4 linked regions of the Mus musculus genome follow. The protein of the gene in region 2 interacts with the protein of the main gene of each other region in a pairwise test. Links are inferred from orthologs where the notes say so. Each region holds a gene or a part of one and is shown on either strand. Other genes may lie near its edges.

Region 1 (4,189 bases), about 8.2 Mb from region 2:
CTTCAAAATCTAAATGCCCAAATGTGTTGGGGGGTAAATAAGTATACAATAAGCCAATTGACCATAATTACTTATATTTCTCTAAAGCAACCACAATAAGGTATCATTAAGTTGAGAAAATGGTTAAAAACCATAACAAGCTTCTCTCTCCCTGGTACACAGCACGAACTGTTCACTAATATAAAAATGTCCTTTAGCGGGCTGGAGAGATGGCTCAGTGGGTAAGAGTACCAACTGCTCTTCCGAAGGTCCTGAGTTCAAATCCCAGCAACCACATGGTGGCTCACAACCATCCATAATGAGATCTGCCTCCCTCTTCTGGAGTGTCTGAAGACAGCTACAGTGTACAGTGTATATAATAAATAATTTTTTTTTTAAAAATGTCCTTTAGCGGGGCAGTGGTGGCGCACGCCTTTAGTCCTAGCACTTGGGAGGTAGAGCAGGCAGAGTTCTGAGTTCTCCAGGCCAGCCTGGTCTACAGAGTGAGTTCCAGGACAACCAGGGCTACACAGAGAAACCCTGTCTCAAAAAAACAAAAAAAACAAAACAAAACAAAACAAAAAGAGTCCTTTAAATCCAAGGCATTACACCAGACATAACTTTAATCACAGCAATCAGGAGTTCAAGGTCAGCCTTGCCTACTTAGCCAGCCAAAGAAACTATAGTGATTCCCTTCCTGCGCCCCCCACTCTATCTCTCTCAGGCACACACACAGATCCAACGTATTACATGGGATAAATAAAACAATAAATTTACACACCATATATGATCAGAAGTGATGACTGAGTCGTCAAACCCCCTGAGCAACACAGAACTTAACACTATCATTTTTGTTCTAAAGTACTATCAGGCATTTACTATTCGGCTTTGGAAAAATAGAAGGGACTAAGGATATGGCTCAATGGTTCTGCACTTTTCCTAGGATGTGTGAGGCCATTAGGTCTTAAACATACCAGCACCACAAAACCAAAAACTAAGAAAAATAAAAATAGAAGCGATTGCTTGCTGAAAAATATTATTCATGATGGAAAAGGATATACTTCATAAACATCCCAGAAAGTGTGGGTGTGCAGACTTCATCTAGCCAATTTCTTATACTCAGTGTAGGGCAAGCAATGGACGTGAAAACAGATTAAATCCAGACCATCCCATTAAAGTTAGCCAAGGAAATGAGAAGAGGCAAACTATAATTACTCCTGGAAAAGACATTGATCAAGTATATAGCCACAGCTAACATTTAGCTCTAGAAAAGCTTCAGTACGTATGAATAAGTGGGAGCCACTAAAAAGGATGGTATGTCTTTCCTAAATCTCGCCTTGCCTGTATCCCAGTCGGCTGACTGATCTATTTGGAAAGTAGCTTTCCCTGACCCTTGAGTTGGATACAAGAAAGAGGGGAAACAGGGTGTAGTTTTTGAACTTCAGTCTCACCTTGCACATCTCACCGGCTCTGTAGTTCATTAGTGATCAATTACTTCATCCAGTTCCTGGAGCAAACAGAAAAAGAAGATGGTATGCAACACCAGTTGGAGCTGTTACCAGTTACAAGCATTTTATAGTCCTTTAGTAAAAGAATATGGATACACTTCAAGTGGAAAAAGTTATTTAAAAAAAAAAAAAAAAAAGATACAGGATGAAGCTTTGGAGGGGAAAAAAATTTGCTTCTTTTACCTAAAATTGAAAATATTTTCTTTCAGCAACAGATTAGAAAATAGTCTTCAACCTTAAACATAATAAACTCATCTATTCTACACTGATTAGTCTTACTTTCAAAAATAAAAGAAGGGAGAAAAAAATCAAGGAGGGGGGGAAAAAAGCTATTCATATGAGTGAAGAGAGCAAAATCAAGAACAAACTAGGCCAGATAACGTCTCCCTCTTCCCCCGGCTGCTCCCGGCATCCACTATCTCTGAAGTTACACTTCTGATTATCCTAATGGCTTGTCTAAAAAGTGTAACTTTGCAAGGGAGAAAGGATGCCAATTTCGGAGCTCAACAAAAAAAAAAAAAAAAAAAAAAAAAAACAAGGTTCCCAACCCAAAAGGAATCTGAAGGCTCTGGCTTCCAGCCCTGTCTGTGAGGACCCTCAGCAAAGGCCAGGGGGCAGAAGACTCAACTCATTTTGGGGAGAGAAATCACAGTTCCTACTTAGGACTATGTGTCCGAGCCCTTGAGGGTAAAGAGAGAGAAGGAAAGAAAGGGGCCTTTGGAGACACCTCCAGGAAGAGACTGTGCATTTGTTTTTGTAGATGTGCTCACGGGCCACGCATGTCCCAGGAGGGGGGCGGGGAGAGGGGGACCACAGTGAATCTTGAGCAGAGCCCTCTGCTGGGGAGGGGCGCCCCCTGACCCACTTTCGTGCTGTCCCCTGCCCTGGGGTCGCCGCCCCACCCTGGGTGGAAATGCTAACCCGGAGGGCTGCACCGCGCGCGGCGTGGGAGGCCGCCCGCTCCCCACCCTAAGCCGCGACCCTGGGGCGCGGGGCGTGCGGGGACCCCAGGGTCGGCCCGTGCCGGAGCAGCCTCGCGCGGGCTCCCGGGTCCCCCCGAACCTCGGGCGTGTGCAAGGACCCTCGGGCCACCGCCTGGGTCCCTGGCACCTCAGCCCCCCAGCGGAGGGAAAAGGAGATTGAGGAGGGGAAGAAACAGTAAACAGCTCCAGCGTCCGGGCCTCGCCTCTGAGAGAGCCCCGCTCCCCAGGCCCTGCCGGCGGCCGGCGGGATCCCCCGCTGTCCCCGGGGCCGCGCTGTCCCGGACCCGGAGCACCCGAGGAGAGTCCGGGCCTCTCCCCGGATGGCTCTGGAGGCTCCTGAAGCGACCCGGGCAGCGGAGAACGGGGAAGTCAGGACTTACCTGTCATTACTTTCTACGCCATCTTGGATCCACTTGTCAACGTCCCCACAAAGCATTATGGGTAAGAAAGAGCCTTTAAAGTGACTCCCCCCCCCCCTCGGCCCCCGACTCCCGCCTCCCGCCGCCGGCGCCGCCCCCTCCGGCTGCACCTCCCTCCGGAAAGTTGGCCCCAGAGGCCCGCCCGGCCCCCTTCAGCGCCTGCGAGACTTCTCAAGGAACACCCCTACTCACACACCCAGTTTTCCAACTGTGCCTTTGGGGTGCTCTCTCTTCCCCCCACCCCCGTCCCTATCTCCCCCATTCCTTACGCGAGCTGCTGTCTGCCCCGCCGCGATCCTGCCCTAGTAGCCAGATACCCTACTCCTGCATTCAATCAACACGGCGTGTCCCGGACGCGGGTGGTGTGTGAGCCGGCTAGCGGATGCATAGATGTATGCAGGGATGCATGAGCGCATGAATGCGCACGCCTGCGAGCGGTTCCCCCAGCTCCAGGTCCTTGCTACCGCTCGCGCTTCCCGCCCCGGGGCATCCGCCAGGCATGTCGCACTCGCGCGCGGGGACAGTGTCGGTATCCTAAGAAGCCACTCTGGGGCCCTAGGATCCCAGGAACTCGGTGAAACGCCGAGTCAATCCGCCCGCAAAGCTGCAATTGGGATCTGGGAAGGTTAAGCTAAATGCAACTTTTACCCCAGTTTACTCGCGCGGTCCCCTCCTCTTGGCCGGTAATGTGATCTGCGACCCTCTAGGTCGGAGGACCCCCTCCCCTAGGAATGTGGCTTTAGAATTCAGCCGGGTTAGAGTCCAAATTGTGGACTGTGACTTCCCCATGCAGGTAACTCAAGAGAACCCGGCTGCAGAGTCCGGGTGGGGCGTGGATGCGCGCCTGGGCCGGGAGGGGGTCCCCCGGGTGGGTTGGGGGGTAGTGCCTACCGCGTTTCAACTGTCCTGTTCCCACAAGGCGGCGACCCCAGGCGGCGGGACAAGGTAGAGGGCGGGCGCCACGCTGGCTCTGGGCAGAGAGAGGAGGGGGATGTCCAGAGTGGCTTGGAGGCGACCAGGACGCAGGAAGTAGGAGGCGACCGTGCGCCGGCAACAGACCTTTGCGAGCATCCCGCGGGCATCTGCTTTCTGGTTGCAAGACAAGCCCAGCGCTTTCCCCGCCCCTCCCGCGTTGCTTCAGGCGAGCAACACCTAGCTCAGGTGACCACCCCTTTTGCTCCATGAAGTACCAGCTCCTTGCAGCCCTAGTCCTGCCAGAAATGTAGGTCTGTTCATTAACTCCCCACCCCCACCCTATACATTCTCTTCCTCCAGTGTCAGCACTGCTGAGTTTGAGGAC
Region 2 (4,122 bases):
TGAGTTCTGCCACCACCTAGCTGTGACAGTGTCCCCTCCCAAGTGGCAGCAGAAGCACTGGGGTGGGGCTGAAGCAGAATGGCTCAAAGCAAAACCAGGGCCAATGGTGGCGCACACCTTCATCCCAACACTTCAACAGAAAGCAGAGGCAGGAGAATGTCTGTGAGTTTAAGGCCAGCCTAGTTAGTCTACAGATAGAGTTCTAAGAAAGCCAGGACTAAACAGAGAGACACTGACCCTGCCTCAAAAATCAATAGAGAAATAATTTGAGACCAACTTGGACAATACATCAAGACCTTGTCTCAAAAAAATTGAATAAAATTTTTTAAAAAGAATTATTTATTATATGTGTATGAGTACACTGTAGCTGTCTTCAGACAGACCAGAAGAGGGTGTCAGATCCCATTACAAATGGTTGTGAGTCACCATATGGTTGCTGGGAACTGAACTCAGGACCTCTGGAAGAACAGTCAGTGCTCTTAACCAATGAGCCATCTCTCCGGAGAGCCCATAAAATTTTTTTTAATTGGCAGGTTATGTTTATACATACAAATTTTAAGAATCACTGTTAAAATGAGGAAACACTAAGCAAATTTTAAAATTTGCATTTCAGATAATGCACTATGTCTGAACAAAGAAAATGATGCACATTAGACTTGGCACAACTCAGGGGAAAATCAACTTTGACAATCACAAAACAATAAATCTCAGTAACCATGGCCAATCAGCAGGTAACTAACTACCTCTCAGTGCTGCCTGTCGGGAGAGTGGCAGCTCTGTTTTGCCATCTCTGAAGTCTAACACTCCATAATTCTCTAAGGGCTGCTGTACACACGCGACATAGTGGAAATCATGAAAAAACCTCAGTAACACAGCAAACGGTGCTTAAAACCAACTATCGGGCCAGAGAGAAGAATATGGCTGCTCACAACCCTCTGTAACTCCTGTTCAAGGGGTATTGGTCCTCCTTTAGCATCTGAGGGCACCAGGCATGTACACACACACACACACACACACACACACGCCCGCGCGCACGCGCAGGTAAATACACTCAAGAATGTAAAAAACTTAAAAATCACTTTTAAAAGCCTGATTAGGACTAAATCATTTGTTAGGGTAGGTAGGTAGGCTTTAATTCACAAATATCAAAGTTCTCTTCTATTTCAAGCTATCTTACTTCACAAACTCCCATGGGTGATTTCTCACTTAACAATAGTTAACCTCACTAAAACCTTAAAAAGGAGTCTTTCAGCTCCCAAACTGACTCAATCTCCCTTACTAACAGTGAGGGGAAACAGGAGGGAGCAAGAAGGAAAATACTACGAACAAACCATGATCTGTGAAAAAAAAAAAACACCAAAATACAAGTAACACAAGCAAACAGGCAAAATCCACTTGTGAACTGGTCACTATCACTTACTTAGGGATGAATTCAGTCCTTTGAGTTTCCTAGTTCCCAGGGGGAGAACTTAAACAGCCCCCTACCACCAACACCACCACCCGCCCCCGCCCCCCTGGCTCCCAAGTAGCCCTCCTGGCTGCCTGATGAATACAGTGGACGTTAAAAAAGGAATGCAAACAGGGAAGGTATCTCCCTCCAAAAGAAAAGGGGATCTTAGAACGACGGAGAAAATGAACAGTGCCCAAACCAGCAGAAACTTGAAAATTATAACGGAGGAACAGCAAGAAGGGGAAGTAGATTTTTTTTTAAAGGGGGCGGAGGGACCAATGACTGGCGCTACAGATGCTTTTCGTGTCCCTAGTAGCGTAGAATGGAGACAGAAGGCAAAAACGGAAAAGTGAAAGAGAGGTGAAGAAGTCAAAAACAAAAAACAAAACAAAAAAACAACAACAACAAAACCCAGTTTCTCTAGCCTCTTTCTGAGTGTCAACAGCACCGAAAGATGACGTTGAACGCGCTTCGGCTACCCGGCAAACTGCACTGCTATAGCTTTTGAACACAGCCTAAAATCCCTTTCTTACCAACCCACACGACCTAAGAGTGTTGCAGGAACCAACGGGGCTCTCTCCCCAAAATTCCTTCCTTCCAGCATTCCTATCCGCTGCTGCTGCTGCTTCCCCCCCACCCCCCAACAAGTATTTTTTCCCCCTCAAGTCCTTCTAAAAAGAGAAGCGCCCAACTCTCACAAAGACCCGTCGGCGGGTCCGGGTAACAATCATTCTAAGTCACGGTGGATTCCCGCACACAATTCCACCGCAAGATGCCAAGAGGCGGTGACGTGGTGGCCTTGCAGGTCAAAGGAGCATCAATCACCACGTTAGCTGCGGGCACCGAATCCCCCGCCTCCCGGGCTCAGTCAGCCTGACTCAGAGCAGCAGCCTGCGCCTCTCGGCTGCTCCGGGCTCCCCAGCGTCCAGCCGGACGGCCGCCACACCAGACCTCCCCGGCGGGCCGGGTCTCTGCCCCCAGCGGGAGGAAGACCGGCACCAGGAAGGAAGCGCCCCAAAAGGGGAAACGAGGAGACGGCTGCGCAGCCGCTGCGCTCGGGTCCCAGCCTTCCCCGGCCCGCGAGCGGCCCTCCCCGGCAGCCCCGAGCAGCCCGGGCCCGAGCCGCTCGCCGCCGCGCGGCGCGGGGACCACGGAGCTCCCGCTCACTTCCCGCCCGCTCCCCTGCACTCACCGTGACGCGCCGTCCACTCCGTCACCCGGCCCGGCCCGCCCTGCGCTGCCGCCCGCAGCCGCCAACCTCGCTGCTGCTCCCTGACTGCGGCGCCCGCTGCCCCGACCGCCGTCCCGGCCGCAGCCCCGCTCGCTCTCGCCGCCGCCGCCGCCCGATCGCAGAAGCAACAGAGCAACCTAGCTTCCGCTCCTCGCCAGGGTCCCGCGAGAACTTCCCCACGCGGCCCCGCCCCGCCGCGCCCCGCCCCCGCGAGACTTCCCCCGGCGGAAAAGGCCCAGAGCGCAAGCGCTCCTCCTCCGCTCCGCCCGGCAGGTAGCCTAGAGGGGGGCTTCGCGCATGCGTCAGCTCGGCCCGCAGCAGGTGGCACGGACTCGGCTCCGCCCCTGGGCCGTTGTAACCCTCTACGTGCCGGAGCAAGTGAATTACAGCTCTGCTCTAGAGGAACGGCGCTTTCCACACTCTAATCACGTCCTTTCTACCAAAACAAAGCAAAGAGGCACCGAGGAGCGGGGAGAGATCTCAGGATGGCTCAACCCAAATAGAGGACCAGTTCTAGAAACGTTTGGGGATCTGGTTCGTGCAACCTGCAGTATTCGATGAATTGTTTGATTAGTCTGTTCACGCAGTGAACCACATACCCAGTGTAAGTAAGCACTGTGCTGGGTAAAGAAGATGAAACAACGAGCAGAGATCCTGGCCTTCAAGAGGTTAAATCGAGAGAAGCAGCAGAAGAGTAAACAAGTAATGTCTTGGCTGGAGAGACCTCTCAGGTCAAAAACTGCTTGCTGCTCTTCCAGAGGACCTGCACCCACACCAGATGGCTCACAACTGTCTGTAACCCCAGTTCCAGGAGACTTAGTGCCGCTGGCCTCTGATAGCACTAGCATTCACCTGCACACACCCTCATGCGCGCGCGCGCGCGCGCGCACACACACACACACACACACACACACACACACACACATACACACACAGCTATAACACTTACACATAGCTCTTTGGGGGAATGCTGAGGAAGCCAAAAAGATAGAGAAAGGCTGGCTCTGTTCCTCAGCCCACTGTATAAAAGACTTAACAAAGAAGGTGATGTGGAACTGAGTACTGGAGGGCGAGTAGGAGTTCCACAGCACAGGAGCCAGGGTAAGCGCTTAGCCAACAAACGGAATGGCACAGAACAGAGAGATGGATGGAGGCGTGAGAAAGTCGTGTTCTGTGCGATGCAAAGTGCATAGATAGGTTCCTGTGCGGGGCTGCCGGTTTTGGGGGAGTAGTAGATGAAGCTTGGAGAAGTACCTCTCAGTTCCAAAAGCTCTTTTCAATTATAGGAGAGCAAGAACACAGCCAATGTCAATGTGTTCTCTAGAAGCCAACAAAATACAGTTAAGAATACCCAAGCCTCTGCTACAATAATGAGTCCACTAAAATAAGGCAAGTGAATTGTTCTTTCGACAAGTGTTTACTGAACATCATTTGCAATTGA
Region 3 (3,610 bases), on a different chromosome or scaffold from region 2:
GCTGAGCCATCTCTCCAGCCCAACACTGTTCTTAATCTCTTAAAACACCTCCTATATCCTGTGATAGAGAGCAAGGTGACACCTGGCATTGGTCTCAGTTTACCCAAAAAAATACAAACCAGGGAAGAGGGGGAAAGAATGTTGTTTAAGGATTGTAGTCTGAGTTCTGTACTTAATAGCTTGGTTAATTTTATAAATGTTTATGTTGAACTAAATTTTAGCTAGGGCATACTCTTGGTTGTCAGTTTTCTATATTGATCGACATAATTGAAGTATGTCAGCAAACTATGAAAGCTGAGAAAGTAAATAGAGCAATTGCAGTATCTTAGTTGAAATTCTCAGCTTAAGTTTTTTGTTTTGTTTCTTTTTAAAACAGAAGTAAAGCTGGGCTAATCTCAGTGCCCCTAAGGAGAAATGGGGGTGTAGACAGGAGACTGAAAGCCTTCCCTGTATCGGAACACTTTCATGAACATGGGCACATACACAATGATAAGACAACTTAGAAGTTGCTATAAAATAGAATGATATTTTTTTGGTCAGGAAAATACATGTTTAGGTTAAAGTGATACTATGTAAGGCATTTATAGCTTTTTTTTAAAAATTATTTTTAAATCATTTGCTGACTAAAGATTACTAGTTACTATTGCAGTTGGTGCCTCTGTATTTCTTTCAGCTTTTTGAATTGTTAACTAGAAAAACATTTCTTCCTGTGGTTCTGAGACCTAAGGCACAGCACCTAGAAAGAACACTTTCAGTAACTGGTAAATGGTGCTTTATTCTAGTCTAACATTGTAGTTCTGTTACAGTGAAAGGTGATGACCTTCAGGCCATTAAAAAGGAGCTGACTCAGATAAAACAAAAAGTGGATTCTCTTCTGGAAAGCCTGGAAAAAATTGAAAAAGAACAAAGCAAGCAAGCAGGTAATAGTCTTTTAATTTTCTAATTGAATTTGGGTTATCTTCCTAAGGTGGTTTAATGTATATGCAAATTGGGCTGTTTGGAAGGGGCATTAATTTATTTGGAAAACTTTACTTTTGTTCTTTGATGATTAATGGGAATTGTCTATATCCTGTGGGCAACACTTGCCCCTGGACAGACTTGTCCTTCTCATCCCCAGTAGAGATGAAGAATGAAAAGTCTGAAGAAGAGCAGAGCAGCGCCTCTGTGAAGAAAGATGAGACTAATGTGAAGATGGAGTCTGAGGCAGGTGCAGATGACTCTGCTGAGGAGGGTGACCTGCTGGATGATGACGATAATGAAGATCGGGGGGATGACCAGGTGATTACCTTTGGAAAAAAGAAAGTTGGGAGGACTGGGGTCCAGGGATGAGAAGAGTACCTCTAACTCTCCCTTATTTGTGTCTTTCTCACAGCTGGAGTTGAAGGATGATGAAAAAGAGCCTGAGGAAGGAGAAGACGACAGAGACAGCGCCAATGGGGAGGATGACTCTTAAGCACATAGTGGAGCTTAGAAATCTTATCCCATTATTCATTTACCTAGGCGTTTGTGGGAGATGAAAGTAACACCAGGTCATCTCCCCTGGGGTCTTCTGCACATTCTCACTGTTGTCCCGCCTTACCCTCCCTGTGTTCATTAATTCATGATTGCCCTGCGCCTAGTTACAGTTCCACTTCCTTTGATGCTCCGTAGTACTTTCGTTAAGTCTCACCCTGTAAGTTTTGCTTTAATTTTGATACCTCTTTGACTTAACAATAAAAAGTTGTATGGTTTTTATCAACTGTCTCCAAAATAATCTCTTGTTATGCAGGGAGTACAGTTCTTCCCATTCATGACTTCAGTAGTTGCTTCCCTAACTGCAGAGGCATCTCATTTACTTGTAACCCCAAGAGCAGCTTTGCATTAGAGGTGTGTGTTTTCCCTCACGTGAGTGGGACTGTTACAACACGAATGTAACCATGTATTTTTGTGAATGGGAGTTGGCATGTCAAATGCATCTTACAGGAAAATAGTGTAATAGTCTTAATATTTGTTTTCTAAAGTTATACCATGGGTTATTTTTGTGAACAGCCTGATGTTTGGGATCTTTTTCTCAAAAATAAACAGTTCCTTATTAAACCAGGAATTTGAAGGAAAGACAATTTTTTTTTTTCCGAGACAGGATTTTTCTATATAGGCCTGGCTGTCCTGGAACCCACTTTGTAGACCAGGCTGGCCTGGAACTCAGAGATCTGCCTGCCTCTGCCTCCTGAGTGCTGGGATTAAAGCCGTGCGCCACCACACCCTGCTGGAAAGAAAGTTTTTCAATTACATTTTTTTTTTAATAGCAGCCTCCACAAATCGTTAGGTTGTATTAAATATAATCTTCATGCATACCAATATATATGAATAAAAGTCATTTTGAGAGCATTGTTAACTTTAAATATTTTTGACACGGAGTGCTTGAATGTTCAGTTACTGATTAAAACCCAGGTTTCTTTATTGCATTCTCAACCTGTGCCTCAAAAGTTTCAAAATAGGAAAGCATTTGTCTTTCCCGTTTTATATAGCATTTGCCTTCCTAAGAACTGAGTCTATAACGAGAGTTATAATTACCCATGTGAAGTACTCTTACCCCTTTTCTTGATTTGTTTGAGTCAGCTTGGAACATTTTGCTGTGTAAGACCTAACATAAGGTAAAGGTATAAACAGATTTGGGGGCTTGTTTGTTTATTTTTGTATAGCAGGCTATTCAAATCTTTTATGCACACAGACTTTCTACTTCTCAAAAAGACCCTGTTGTGTATATCTAGCATACAGCTGCAAGTCTATGCTTTCATGCTATGCATTGTAGGCAAAAGTAACCCATGATAAAACTGAGGAGAGGCTGATCTAGGGGCTTCCCTTGGCTCCAGTGTGCAAATATAAAAATGGCTTTTATTGTGACCCCCCTCTGCCCCTTCCCCTAATCTTGATATTGTCTTGGGTTTTTGAGGAATTGGCTAGATATCAGAGGTTAAAGATGCTAATAAATAAAACCTGTTTAAATATGCTGTTAGAAGCTGGTGTGTACAAAATGCTGGGGTGGGTTCAATTAGTTCAGTATTGGGTACTTTCTGATATTGGGTATTGTATTTATTCAGGTGACTCCCCCGCCCCCTCCCCCCAAAAAAAGCAGTTGGGAAATTTGAGAATAAAGACTGTGGTTCTGTCCCTTTTCATAGTTGGTATATACATCAGCAAAAGACTCAGGAGCCTGTGTCTTCATAGGAACACTAAGTGCCAGCATGTGACTAAAAAAGGGTGTCATCCCTGGCCCTCCCTCAAACTGCTGTTGCTAGTTTATTTTGGAAACTATTTAGAACTATTTAGATATTGTTAGAGAACTATTTAGGATATTTTACTGGTGGTATTAAACTAAGTTAATACTAAAACTTGTCAAGTTAAAATGTTCACAGGTTTATTCCACTATGAGAATATCTTAAGTCTTTCAAAGTTGTGAGATTTTGTTCATTTCTAGTTTTTTAAAAAAGATTGGGGTGGAAGATGGCATCAGATCTGATGTGGCTGCTGGGATTTGAATTCAAAATGTCACTGCTCCCAACCAGTGAGCCATGTCTCTAGGCCTCCTTTCTAGTTGGGAATACAGAGAATTAGGAAATAATGTAGAGGA
Region 4 (4,391 bases), on a different chromosome or scaffold from region 2:
ACAATATCCCATGCATGTCTCTGGTACTTCAAACTGTTACTGATGACCACTGGAGAGATGGCTCAGCACTTGCTGTTCTTTCAGAGGACCTGGATTCGATCCCCAACACCTACATCTGGGAACTCACAATCACCAGTAATTCCAGTTCAAAGAGATCTGAACTCCTCTTGGTACAGGAACCAAGAACCCAGGTGGCACCAGGAACCCACTTGGTACATATGCATATATGTAGATATGCATACAAATAAAATAAAAACAAATAAATGTTTCTAGAGTTAGGAAAATGGCTCAGCGGATGAAATGCTTGCTAACAAGCATGAGGACCTAAGTTTGGACCTCCTGTACTCATGTCCAGGCTGGGCAGATCACTCCTGTCTGTAACTTCAGCACCGGGATGCAGAGATAGAAAGATCTCAAGCTCTTTGGCCAGTCCATATGGAATCTGAGCTCAGCCATCCAAGTATCAAGATTCACTGAAAGATGAAAAGAATGTCTCAAAAAATAAAGTGTTTGCGCGAGCCCTCTGGACGTCAACCTCTGGTTTGTAAAGGCCAGTGAGCACCCACCAATATACATAAAAATTCACAGGAAAATGTTGAGTAAGTGTAAGTGTGGTGAGAGGCAAAGATTTCTACAGTCAAGTACTAAGAAACAAAGAGGGGAAGTAGTACGACCTTTAAAGCTGAAACTCATTGTTGAAGGAACATTAATTATAAAAACAGTTTTTAAAACTATTGAGCATAAAAATTAAATGTCAAATATCCGCCGTAGTTAGTCGCTGCTAAAATTTGGAAGAGTAGGTCATTCCTTGCCTTTGTTCAAATTGTTTGCATATATTATGCAAATACCCAGAACCATTCGAAGAACGCCTACTCGAAGAAAGTCAATGATACACTCCTCTGGACCCTTTGATTGGCTTGCCTATCCACTTCATTTGCATGACGTGATTTGATAACTGGAAAGCCCCGCCTCCCTGACGCGTTTACCTCTCACGAATGGACACCAGACCTGAAATTCTTCCAGGGTCTATGTAACTCCGCCCTCGACTAACTAATCCCTTCCATTCGTCGCAGTTCTTTCCGTCTTCTCCGCTGAGAGTGACCGGGGCCTAGCATCCCTTCCCTGCGTGTCTCTCGGCTCCCAGCCGTCCGCGGACCAACTACGCATGCGCATCCTTTTTCTCCCACCATCCGTCGTGTAAATTCTGCGCCCCAACGGCCTCGCATTCCGCCCGGTCTACGCGTCTCAACTGCCGACGCCAAGACGTCTCCCTAGCCAACCGGCGTCCTAGCGTCTGTAAGTCCCTCCCCTTTATGCAAATATCCTCCACACACTGCCTTTATTTTTTTAAAGTAGGGACAGCCCTGAAGAGCGGAGGGGTCGGAGAGTAAGGGCTCCGCCCCCTATGCAAATAAGGGGGCGTGCCCAGCCGCGGAGGGAGGCGGGAGGTGGGGGGTGTTCCCGGGGGCGGCGGTTGCCCGGATGGGCCGTTAGTCGGAGCCCAGCCGCGGAGTGAGCGAGGGAGACGGGAGGAGCCGAGCGCGGCGCCATCCGCCGCCATCCGCCCCCGCCCCGCCGCCATCCGCCCCGGGAAGCCTTTGAGCCCGGGTCCCGGACCCCCACGCACCCGGCTAGGTGAGTCTGGGCGAGCTGGGCGCTGACGCCCTTTCCGGCGCGGGGCGGCGGCAGCGGCGGCGGCGGGCCGGGGGAGAAGCTGCCATCAGCCGCCGCCATCTTGTCCTCCTGCCGCCGGCCTGCCCCTCCCCCTCGGCCTGCGCCGGCCGCTCCCAGGCCGCTGTGGAGGGCTGGGGGCGGCCGCGGCCCAGCAGCCTGCTCCTCAGGGCACGACCGCGCTCCAGGCCGCGGTTCCTGCTCGCGTCGCGCCCTCGGCCCCTCGGCCGGCCCGGGGCCCCTCCGCCGCCTGTAGACCTACCCTTTGAGGGGCTCTTGGTGTTTCTGGAGCCCTTGCTGCCACCCGGCGCTATGGCTCCCGGTCTTTCTTGGTCTTTGCGTCGAGTCACTCTGGTTCTGGAGCCCCGCTTTCGGCCAGCATCTTCGCCTTTCTGCGTCCCCCAAGCCTCTGCGTTCCCTTTTCCCCCCATGGCCCTATCTCCTCCTCTTCCCTCTTTTCTTCTGAGCTCCCCTGACACTGCCCCTTGTCAGCCTTCCTCAGCCGTTCCTGCTTCCCTCCCTGCTTTCTGCTTGATTCTCTCTTTAGCAGTTGAAATCTGTCTGCTCTACGGTTTTTCTGCTTTCTCCCCCTTTCATGGTAGATTTCAGATTGCCTTCCTTAAGTGCCTAGAGAGCAACCCCTGTCTTCTTTTCTCTGGCTTGTGGTAAAGTTAGTTCTCTCCCCGATTTTGGCTTTCATCCTAGGCCTGCATGCTTTCTTGCTATCTTCCATCTCTTTTTCACACTGTTCCCACCCACAAATGAATGCCCGGTCACTCGAGGATGGATTCAGATGTAGAGTTTTTCCTGCCTGAGGAGTAAGGGCTGTTAGGGGAACAAATGACTGCTTATGAAGAGACTGGATGAGGATAAAAATGGTAGTTGGTTCTGGGTTTGGCCTCTGCTGCCTGGCCCATGGTTACAGGGTGTTGTCGAGGTAGCTCCGTCATGCTGTGGTTTTCCTCAGTTTTACATGGGGTCCACTAGTTTTTTGTTTTTTTGTTTTTTTCTGCCAGCAGAATTGTTTCCAAGAGCCTGTGTGGGGGCTATGTAAGGAATAGATGGAATATTTTGCATCCAGGGGTTCTGTGGAGCCCCTGTTGTTTAGTAAGGCTTAGTCTGGCACCAGCTCCTGGTCTGAGAGCAAGCTCATAAAAATCCTTAAGCTCCCAGCATACCTTCCTTCAAACCTCCCAGATGGGACTTAAGGCTGCTGGGAATGAAACCTGGGACACAGGGCCCTGGGGCGTGATTAGGGAGCTGGTGTCTAATAGGTTGACAATCTGAAGTTCTTGTACTTGCTCGATAGAGTTGTGTACCTCATTCTGGTTTTCTCTGGGGCTTTGACTTGGTTGTTCAATTTAATCGTATGTCTCTGAAATTATTTTGGAGGAGTGTAAGATTAGTTGCCATTTCTAAATGGCACAAAGGATAGATGGGTAAGATACTAGGTTGCTACTTGGTTTTCTTTGTTGGGATATGTCAGGGGGAAGGGGGCTGTGGAAGCCAAGTGGATGGTGGTTGCTTAAGAGACTGTAGTGTTTTACACAAGCCAGAGAACCAAGTATTTGGGCCCTAAAGAGAATGCAGAGAGCTTCTAAGCTTTTGTCTGAAAGGGGCAGAACCTGAACTGCCTACTGTCTGGCCCACAGGCACCGGCTCGTTTTGGGGGAGGTGCCTGCAGGACCCAACGTACTCAATGAGCTTCCAGCGCAATGTCCGATCGCTCGGGGCCGACTGCCAAGGGGAAGGATGGAAAGAAGTATTCCTCGCTCAACCTGTTTGATACGTATAAGGGCAAGTCCTTAGAGATCCAGAAACCCGCTGGTGAGGGTCCTGTCCTGTAAAGACGTTCCTGATATTTGCAGGCTGAGCATGTGTGGGATATAGGCTTTAGAGCTCTCCAACAAAGGCAACTAACAGACCAGATGAATACTGGAGACCTCTCAGTTTCATCTTCAGTGCTGAAGGGGGTGCTGGGCTTTGGGTGAAACACAGCTTATCCTCCTACAAAGGCGTGTTTTTGGTTCCCTGTCCTTGGACACGTAAGAATCGGAGGCAAAGTAATGTGGTGGATTTGAAAAGGTCTTGGACCAGCTTGCCCCCCGCAGGCTCAGGATCAACCATCCCACAGATGATTATGCTGTATCTCACCTTTCCCAGGAGAGCTTAAGAGATTATTGAGTAATGGAATGGTTTCTGAGAGAAGCCTATAGTGAAAAGATGGTAGGGTTGTCTAAACGGGATTTGTTGACGGGACGCTGTTAGGTCTCCCGTGTGAGGTCTTTTTGATCCTTTTTCTCTCCACCGTTTCTTCAGTTGCCCCTCGACATGGCCTGCAGAGTCTCGGAAAAGTTGCCATTGCCCGGCGCATGCCACCCCCAGCCAACCTTCCAAGCCTGAAAGCCGAGAACAAAGGCAATGACCCCAATGTCTCACTAGTGCCGAAAGACGGAACAGGATGGGCAAGCAAACAGGAGCAGTCCGACCCCAAGAGGTAGATAGCTGTGGGACTTCCTGAGGCTCGTAGCTTTGAGCTGGGGAGTGTGTTAAGGCATGAGACTGAGAGAAGCACCTTCTGCACCTAGTTTGTTAGATGACTAAGAATTGAAACCTTAAACTTTGATGGAGAGAAAACAGGAAGAAACAGGCGAGGCCTGTGTACCAGTTGCTTTGTCCTAGTGTTTGTAGATAGTAGCTAGGCTTGGGTCAGCCCCAGC

Evidence for each region.
Region 1: the proteins of Grb2 (region 2) and Helz interact in a two-hybrid assay, tested with the Homo sapiens proteins (2 studies listed by BioGRID and IntAct). The link is inferred for Mus musculus from reciprocal best matches to the Homo sapiens genes GRB2 and HELZ.
Region 3: the proteins of Grb2 (region 2) and Hnrnpc interact in a two-hybrid assay, tested with the Homo sapiens proteins (2 studies listed by BioGRID and IntAct, with this or other methods). The link is inferred for Mus musculus from reciprocal best matches to the Homo sapiens genes GRB2 and HNRNPC.
Region 4: the proteins of Grb2 (region 2) and Prrc2a interact in a two-hybrid assay, tested with the Homo sapiens proteins (2 studies listed by BioGRID and IntAct). The link is inferred for Mus musculus from reciprocal best matches to the Homo sapiens genes GRB2 and PRRC2A.

The regions. Positions count from the first base shown.
Region 1 is NC_000077.6:107,546,643-107,550,831, reverse strand, and holds the start of Helz (probable helicase with zinc finger domain), read right to left. Parts: upstream 2,900-4,189; 5' UTR 2,851-2,899; exon of another isoform or gene 2,838-2,850; intron 1,487-2,837; 5' UTR 1,431-1,486; intron 1-1,430. UniProt on the Homo sapiens protein: May act as a helicase that plays a role in RNA metabolism in multiple tissues and organs within the developing embryo.
Region 2 is NC_000077.6:115,705,752-115,709,873, forward strand, and holds the start of Grb2 (growth factor receptor-bound protein 2), read right to left. Parts: upstream 2,847-4,122; 5' UTR 2,643-2,846; intron 1-2,642. UniProt on the Homo sapiens protein: Non-enzymatic adapter protein that plays a pivotal role in precisely regulated signaling cascades from cell surface receptors to cellular responses, including signaling transduction and gene expression.
Region 3 is NC_000080.6:52,072,923-52,076,532, reverse strand, and holds the end of Hnrnpc (heterogeneous nuclear ribonucleoproteins C1/C2), read left to right. Parts: intron 1-806; coding exon 807-920; intron 921-1,096; coding exon 1,097-1,278; intron 1,279-1,372; coding exon 1,373-1,453; 3' UTR 1,454-3,156; downstream 3,157-3,610. UniProt on the Homo sapiens protein: Binds pre-mRNA and nucleates the assembly of 40S hnRNP particles. Interacts with poly-U tracts in the 3'-UTR or 5'-UTR of mRNA and modulates the stability and the level of translation of bound mRNA molecules. Single HNRNPC tetramers bind 230-240 nucleotides.
Region 4 is NC_000083.6:35,161,979-35,166,369, reverse strand, and holds the start of Prrc2a (protein PRRC2A), read left to right. Parts: upstream 1-1,492; 5' UTR 1,493-1,635; intron 1,636-3,323; 5' UTR 3,324-3,386; coding exon 3,387-3,498; intron 3,499-3,673; exon of another isoform or gene 3,674-3,807; intron 3,808-3,990; coding exon 3,991-4,168; intron 4,169-4,391. UniProt on the Homo sapiens protein: May play a role in the regulation of pre-mRNA splicing.